Linked DNA regions of Kluyveromyces lactis. The protein of the gene in region 2 purifies or fractionates together with the protein of the main gene of each other region. This does not show direct contact. Links are inferred from orthologs where the notes say so. Each region holds a gene or a part of one and is shown on either strand. Other genes may lie near its edges. The genes, in order: TIM23, COX13 and RIP1.

Region 1 (2,667 bases), about 270 kb from region 2:
GTTTCGTTTCGTTTCGTTTCGTTTCAGGAAGACACATGCCCTTTTATTCACATGATATTAATTTATGAGCAAACTAGTGATGAAGTGTCTTCCTTCGTTAGACCATTTCGTTGTAAGTTCGTCACAAATGCTGTTATAATTTGTTATAATTGCTAGAGTACCAGCAAGGCCCGCCTGGAGAGGCAGATAATAGAAAAGAAAAATATTGACGAAAGATGACTTTATTAAAATATATACAAGACCATGTATCTCTAAACAAGCTGCTGCTTTATTTCTAGCTCACTCTTTGATGCTTGATTTCAGATATCGACAGTCTCAAGAATGGTGTAGAAAATGGTAATGGAGTAGGAAAACATGCATGGCGAGAATGGTGCTGTGGTGGAACATAGCATGAATTTGCTAAAATTGTCATCATATTGTACATTATACGAAAGGGGAATTCAACATGCAAACGTAAGATAAAATTGGATGAAATGGGCGGTCAGTAAATACGAGACATTAGGGGCATATTTCACATTTGAAACAGGATCCTCATGCAAACCATTTCTAAGACCCAATGTAATAGTAGTGTAGAATGAAAGGAAACGAAAAAAAAAGTTTATCGTGTGTTTATATATCCACAGGTTTATCCTTTTCTTTCTTTCAACTTATAAGATTACAGACTTGATACCGCACCATCCTGCAGCAGCAGCAGCCATCAAAGCGGATGCGTAACCCATTGGTTTCAATCCTCTAGAAGATCTGAAAATAGCACCAGTTAAAGCACCAGCTGCCACTGAGCCAGCAACATCATGCTTACCTCTGAAAGAATCGATCACTGAGTTGATCAAGTTGTAAGTTAAGGCCAACACACCAGCATTGTTACCCAAAAATGGACCTCTTCTTGTGATATGGTTTAATACTGTATTCAATTGCAATTTACCTGGTGAGTTAGGTGGGATGTTCTTCAACCCTTCAATGAACCCATAAGAACCACCAAGACCTAAACCAACCAAGTATACAGCACCAGTACCGTAACATAAATCGTCTGTCCAACCTCTAGATGGAATCAAACCTTGAGAACCTTCCATTGAAGAAAGCTGTTCTTCTTCCAAATCCATATACTCAACACCACGCTCTAGCCCTGCTAATGGGTGAAGCTGTGATGGACTTAATCCTCCTGGAACAGAAATAACGTTCGACACATTCGAAATTGATGATGGATCGAATCCTAGAGTTTGTTTCAGTTTATCATCATTTTGTTCAACTGGTGTAGTATTTTCTTGTGAGTCTGTAGATGACTTCTTACCACCGAAGAGCCAAGACATAGCTATACTTTATTATTATTATTATTAGCCTTAGTTTATATGGTATCGGTCAAAGGATGAAAAATCAGGAAGAGATTAGACCCGGTCCGTATTCGACAATAATGAAGCCCTGTATTTATCGGAGTATTGCCTTGATAGACTGAAATGCAATGGTAACCTAGCAAAATACCAATACGGAAAAGATGTCTTTGTCTTAGTATCTACAACTCAAACCTTCGAGGGTGATTCAACGTATCATACTACTACTTTAAACACTTTTCGATTGTAAAATTATATTTCACTAATTTTTCAAAATTTCAAAATATTTCAAGAACTACGGTTTTTTTTTTCTTCCTCTTGTTTCTTCTTGCTTCACAAGAGACTCTGTGATTTCAAGACCATTCAAGGTAAAATCAACGAATCGTACAAAATGATGATTCATGTAACCGGAACCGTTCTGCAGATGTAGCTGACCTCTGTTTTGAGCGCAGCGAAGGGTAAACAGAGAGAAAAAAATTTGTCATTTCATTTAGCATTTCTAGCGACAAAAAAAATATTTAAAACTGACGCCCGCCATGAGACAATGTTATTTCACACGACATTGCAAAAGTTATCACTGGGTTTCCAAACAGATATCAACTGAGGTATCTTTGGATGAAACTTTACCTACGCAGATTGATAGAAATCTGTAAAAAGGAGCGCATTGCCCTTAAATTCGTACAAAGAATACAAAGGAAAATTGGGGATTTGTTAGGAAACGACTTTTCTGAAATTATACATTTTCAAACCAGTATATATATATAAAGGGATCCGTATAAACCTTTCATATCAATGTACTGTCGCTAATGTTTTTTTTTAAAATCGCCTGGGATAATTTGTGAAAGCATTTCAGATACTAAGGTAGCATACATGCACTAACGCATTTCAAGGCTTCACACTTTTGAATAAACATAAATTTAATATAAAGAGTGCAGTTTTACATGAAAAGGACGCTGGAACATATGTCAGTCTGCCCCTCAGAAAAACTCCGATGAATAATTTAGAGAATCATCAATTTTCATTCTCTGATGATTTGTTACACTGTGATTACACGATAAAACACAAGCTGTTAACCCGCTTTATGACGAAAAGTTTCACCCAGTGATTGAAATACAAACAAAAAATGGCAGAACGTAGTGCTAGAGTCCAATTTGATTTGTTCGAGTCCGAAAAAGTGTTGTTGCGACACAAATGGATCAGAATATTAGAGGAGATTGACTCCGAAGTCTCAGTGACGCTTGGATTTGATCTATACAATACTAAGAAAGAGGATACGAAGTTGCACCACTGCGAGTTGAAGAAGGTGAACCAAATGAGAGTCGGTTACGACGAGTTCCTATTG
Region 2 (2,474 bases):
TTCTGGATATATGTTGTATATACGCTGTACCAGCGTATCACTTTTCGTTTTCCCCTTATTTTTTGTTCGGTTAACAATGGGGAACAATGTAAAGTTAAAGTTTTTGGAACGTAAAGTCAGTTTGTATTCATCATTCGTGAAAAAAAAGTAAGTATTGAGTTACTAAAGACGTTTGCCATAACGCTGAGCATATCGAAGTTGATGTACTGCTTGTCACAGATTCAGTACAATAGATATTGATAATGAAGAAACTTATATCTACTTATGATCATTGACACAGTGTGACGTGTTTTATTCTATTTTTCTAGGACTGAATTTACAATAAAGATAAAAAGTGTGTTTATTCTTCTTGAGTTAAATAATAATTATTTGTATGGTGGAAACTCCACTATAAAGTTTATCCATATGTTTGTTGTATTTTGAAGTATAATGCCAGATTAAACGGATGTTTGAATTCTTTTGAAGATAATTTGAGGATATTTGATAAAAGGTGTTTTAAAAGATAAAAAAACCCACAGGCAGGGGCTATCTTGATATTTCATTATGAATGGCCAAAGCCCAACAAGTTGAGATCATTTATCGAACTGTGTTTAATCGTGAGAGACGTGTCTGTTAATGACTGGGTTCCAGAACAAAGTCTTGTCACCGTCACCCCAGAAGAAAGGCTTTTGTCTTAAGTTTTGGAATTCGTAGTCTCTTGGCCATTCTTCATCTGGAACGTGCTTCAAATGTTCACGGTGCTCAGCGTGTTCAGCTTCAACGAAGTAGGTGTTGACAGCGGTCAGAGCAATAGCTGGAGCAGCAACAAATATGGAGATCTTAACCCACAAGTTAGAGGTTTGCTTAGCGTGCTCAGTACTGTGCTTCATGTAGTCCTTGTAAGCTTGGGCAGCAGCCAAATCTGGCTTACCGAAAGCTGGTTCCAAAGCATACTTTGGTAGAGTAGAAGCTCTTCTAATGGCTTGTTTGAACATTTTTGATTATATCTAGGGTCTGGCTTTTCGAAACAGAATATCCTTATGGAATTAATTCACCAAACACAGTTGACGTTAAATAGATATCAAACTCGAAATGAATGTAAAATGAATTGTAAACAGTAAGAAAACTAATCACAAAAATCTCTTTTAAAAAAGTACTTTGACTTACCAATAAAACCTTTTCTATTATGGAAAGAGTAGCTTTAATAACTTGAACTTTCCTAACTATTAAACAATTTTTTTTTTCCTACCTCCAAAATTTTCTAGCATCAACACAATCTCTCTCGCGATATTTCCATATCCCACTCCATATAAAAAACCAAAAATGGCACGACGGAGAAACTAGACAAAGATCATGCTTTTTCGATGTTGTAATTTCGGTATCACATTACACGGTATGAAAATGATTGGTTGCTGGTCACGAGAGACTTAAGTTCTGGTAATGGACACTGAGCATAAAAGGTTCCTATTCCTTGTTTAAATGGTGTTGCTGTCTCGCCGGGACTACAAACCCACAAGTAGCTCATACGATACCGTTCACACTGGCAACAGATTCAGAAGTACTTCCTACTTTATTTTCTGTTTCTGTTGCATCTCTTTATACATATTGACAAACAGTGTAATATTGACGTTCAGGAATTCAAGTCCGGGTAACAATATTTGTTTCACGGCCTGGCGGTAATTGATTTTGGGTTTTTAGCAAACCTGAGCCATCGCATGTCATTCTAGTAGCTGCTGCAGGGACTTGCCGGCTGGGGTTGGTGTAGTGGACAGAAACACCGTTCCTAATATATAGAATGCTAGATTAAGCTGAGAGCTTGTTGCATTGAATTCAAAAAACAAGCGCGTTGGCTAATAGAACGCCCGTAGGATCAGCCATGGTTATGGAAATCAAAAGATTGCCTATTGCTGCTTAAGTGTAGCACGAACTTGTGGGTAATGTAACGTTTGTAATTACAAGGGCGTATGACATAAATTAAAAAAAAGAAGAAAAGTAAGAAGGAACACATACAGACTCCTAATGGATACTGTGTATCGACAAATAAAAGCTAGGACATTTGAAGTAAAGAGAGTATTACATCTTTAGTTTGTCTTTGAATTCTTTGATTTTTCCATGAATCTTTCGTATTTCCTTTTCACATCCACTTCATGGATAGATGAGCCTGTCACTTGATTTCCTATCGTGAACCATCCAGGACGGATGTTATGGTCCCTACCGAAAATTTCAAGTTTACGGGCATGTGTACCGACAAGTCTTTCAATGATTCCATACAATTCGTCCGGCTTTCTACTGGTTTCTCTAGTTGCGCTAATGATCAAGTCAATGTCTATTTTTCTGTTTAGCCATTCCGGATTGCCTTTGACCCCGACGAGTAAATGCTCTTTACTGTGGTTCAACCAATGGCCAGTTCTACCTGTCACAATTGTTCTTCCTAATTGGTTTGTCTTGATCCAAGATATTTCATTTATTACTTCGTAACCCCAATTCTGCAATGA
Region 3 (2,536 bases), on a different chromosome or scaffold from region 2:
TGTAGCCAGTGGTATCAACGTCACGAAACCGTTATGTGACGGAGGAGAATCAATCCCAGTAACCTCGGAGAATAAGACAGAGTTTGTTGAAAGGTGGGTAAATTTTTATATGAATGAGGGGGTCTCATCGAGTTTTAGTGCATTCCAATCCGGGTTTACAAGAGTCATCGGGGATGGTTTGGCTTTCCCGATGTTCAAAAGTTGTGAAGTAGAAAGGCTCATCTGTGGCAGCATAGAACAAGACATGGATTTCGAACAACTTCGCGCTGTGACGAAATACCAAGGCGGATTCCATAACCAAACCCCGGTAGTGGAATGGCTATGGGAAATACTACCACAATTATCCCATGAACAGCAACGTCAATTTCTCCATTTCGTGACTGGGAGTGACAGAGTTCCAGTGACGGGACTTGCGACGCTTCCGTTCAAGGTAACCCGCACAACGTCCGGATCACATGATCAGTTGCCCACTGCCCATACCTGTTTCAACGAACTCTGCTTGTACGAATATGAGTCACGTGATACTCTTCTTCTGCGATTGGTGACTGCCCTCGAAATGTATGAGGGTTATGGGTTTAAATAATGTCAGCAACAAACATACATTAATATAATCACTACAAACGAACCAATCATATCGTGAACCAGGCTTTACAGAAAAACCTGCTTCCCTTGAATAACCAGAAAACACAAGGAAATGGACACTTACAGCTACTATGTGAAAGCCGTTAAATGCGAAGCGTTTTACTGACACTAGGCCCAAAGGCCCTAGTGTCAGTTATCATTTCCACCAAGAAAATCTTCCTATACTTGACCATTTACGCAAATAAAATTGTATACTTGTAAATTGGAAAATAATAACCACACCAGGAAGTTCTGCCTCGTCCCAGCTCATTTACACTGTCCATTCCTGTCTGGTCGAATTATATCTTGTTTAATCCTTTAGCGCTTCTTACTATTGGCTTTTTTCCCAATCTGAAATTTTTCTTTGTTTTTTTTTTTTTTGCTTCCTTCCGCACTTATTAAGCTGCAATGGCTTCTGTTTAATATGGATAGAGATAATTTGATAATTTCTCTGAATAAAATAAAATAGAAAAAGATTTAGTACAATCATTTTATTATTACTTTCAGTTCCAACAACATTTTTGCATTGATATATATATTTTATAATCTGGCTTGGTGATTCATATCTGTGTATATATTTATTGATACTCCGAGAGTGCTTTGCTGTTGTGATTAAAGTCGATATCATAGAAACGATTTCTCCGAAATAAGAACGGGAAATTAGTACGAATAATACACTCTAGCGATATATCCATAACTAACTAATATCAAAAATGTTGGGTTTAAGAAACGGTTTGAAGACTGGTTTGAAGTCTGTTGCTCCAGCCAGATTAATTTCTACTTCTGCAGTTGCTGCCAAGTCTACTTACAGAACTCCAGATTTCGGAGACTATATCAAGGAGAATAACGATGCTGACAAAGGTCGTTCTTATGCTTACTTTATGGTTGGTTCTTTAGGTTTGTTGTCCTCTGCCGGTGCCAAATCCACCGTTGAAACTTTCATCGCTTCTATGTCTGCATCTGCAGATGTTTTGGCTATGGCTAAGGTCGAAGTCAACTTGGCTGCTATTCCAGAAGGTAAAAATGTCGTTGTGAAATGGCAAGGTAAGCCAGTTTTCATCAGACACAGAACCGACCATGAGATTCAAGAAGCTAACAGTGTTGATATGTCAGCTTTGAAGGATCCTCAAACTGATTCTGACAGAGTTCAAAAGCCAGAATGGTTAGTCATGTTGGGTATCTGTACTCATTTGGGTTGTGTTCCTATCGGTGAATCTGGTGATTTCGGTGGTTGGTTCTGTCCATGTCACGGTTCCCATTACGATATCTCCGGTAGAATCAGAAAGGGTCCAGCTCCATTGAACTTGGAAATCCCTCAATATGAATTCGATGGTGAAAACTTGATTGTCGGTTAAGCGCAGAAGGAAAGCTAAAAAAAGATTATATTATGTTGATAAATTGTTGAAATAGGCTACCTTTTTTTGCTATTTCTCAAATTTAACTCTCTTCCTTTTTCTCTTTCTCTTTGTCCTTCTCACTCCAGCTTTCACTAATAAAATTCTTTATTCCCATGTTGATGTCTCCTACTCCCCCCATGTATTTTCCAAGTAGGATTCACAACCAAGGTCAATATCTTTTATGCTAAAGTTTGTCATATTGGAATCGTGTAAGCTCGTTTTTTCACGTTCCATCATCACTACCCGATTTATTATTATTTATTCATACAAACATTTTTGAAACCACAACTACCCGTGCCCCCATAGCTCAAGCAAACTAAAAGGATAGCAAGCATGAAATGCTTTTGAAGCATTGTTCAATTGTATGTCATCACTTTTCCTTTTAACTGCACTGAGAAACAATCGCATTAATACCTGAATGACCACATCAGGCTACTACCGTGATTGAAACCCTTTTATTATATTCCAAAATCTTTGAAATAGTCCTGCTCTACCCGATGCATGGTTATACCTACAAT

The links.
Region 1: the proteins of COX13 (region 2) and TIM23 purify together in Saccharomyces cerevisiae (affinity purification with mass spectrometry; 3 studies listed by BioGRID, with this or other methods). This does not show direct contact. The link is inferred for Kluyveromyces lactis from reciprocal best matches to the Saccharomyces cerevisiae genes COX13 and TIM23.
Region 3: the proteins of COX13 (region 2) and RIP1 purify together in Saccharomyces cerevisiae (affinity purification with mass spectrometry; 3 studies listed by BioGRID, with this or other methods). This does not show direct contact. The link is inferred for Kluyveromyces lactis from reciprocal best matches to the Saccharomyces cerevisiae genes COX13 and RIP1.

Annotation. Positions count from the first base shown.
Region 1 is NC_006042.1:578,265-580,931, forward strand, and holds TIM23 (protein transporter TIM23), read right to left. Parts: upstream 1,308-2,667; coding exon 648-1,307; downstream 1-647. Other genes in the region: KLLA0_F06061g (uncharacterized protein), read left to right, coding at 2,449-2,667. UniProt on the Saccharomyces cerevisiae protein: Essential component of the TIM23 complex, a complex that mediates the translocation of transit peptide-containing proteins across the mitochondrial inner membrane.
Region 2 is NC_006042.1:844,111-846,584, forward strand, and holds COX13 (cytochrome c oxidase subunit VIa), read right to left. Parts: upstream 975-2,474; coding exon 591-974; downstream 1-590. Other genes in the region: IME4 (mRNA (N6-adenosine)-methyltransferase), read right to left, coding at 2,061-2,474. UniProt on the Saccharomyces cerevisiae protein: Component of the cytochrome c oxidase, the last enzyme in the mitochondrial electron transport chain which drives oxidative phosphorylation.
Region 3 is NC_006041.1:2,012,838-2,015,373, forward strand, and holds RIP1 (ubiquinol--cytochrome-c reductase catalytic subunit RIP1), read left to right. Parts: upstream 1-1,334; coding exon 1,335-1,976; downstream 1,977-2,536. Other genes in the region: putative E3 ubiquitin-protein ligase HUL4, read left to right, coding at 1-583. UniProt on the Saccharomyces cerevisiae protein: Component of the ubiquinol-cytochrome c oxidoreductase, a multisubunit transmembrane complex that is part of the mitochondrial electron transport chain which drives oxidative phosphorylation.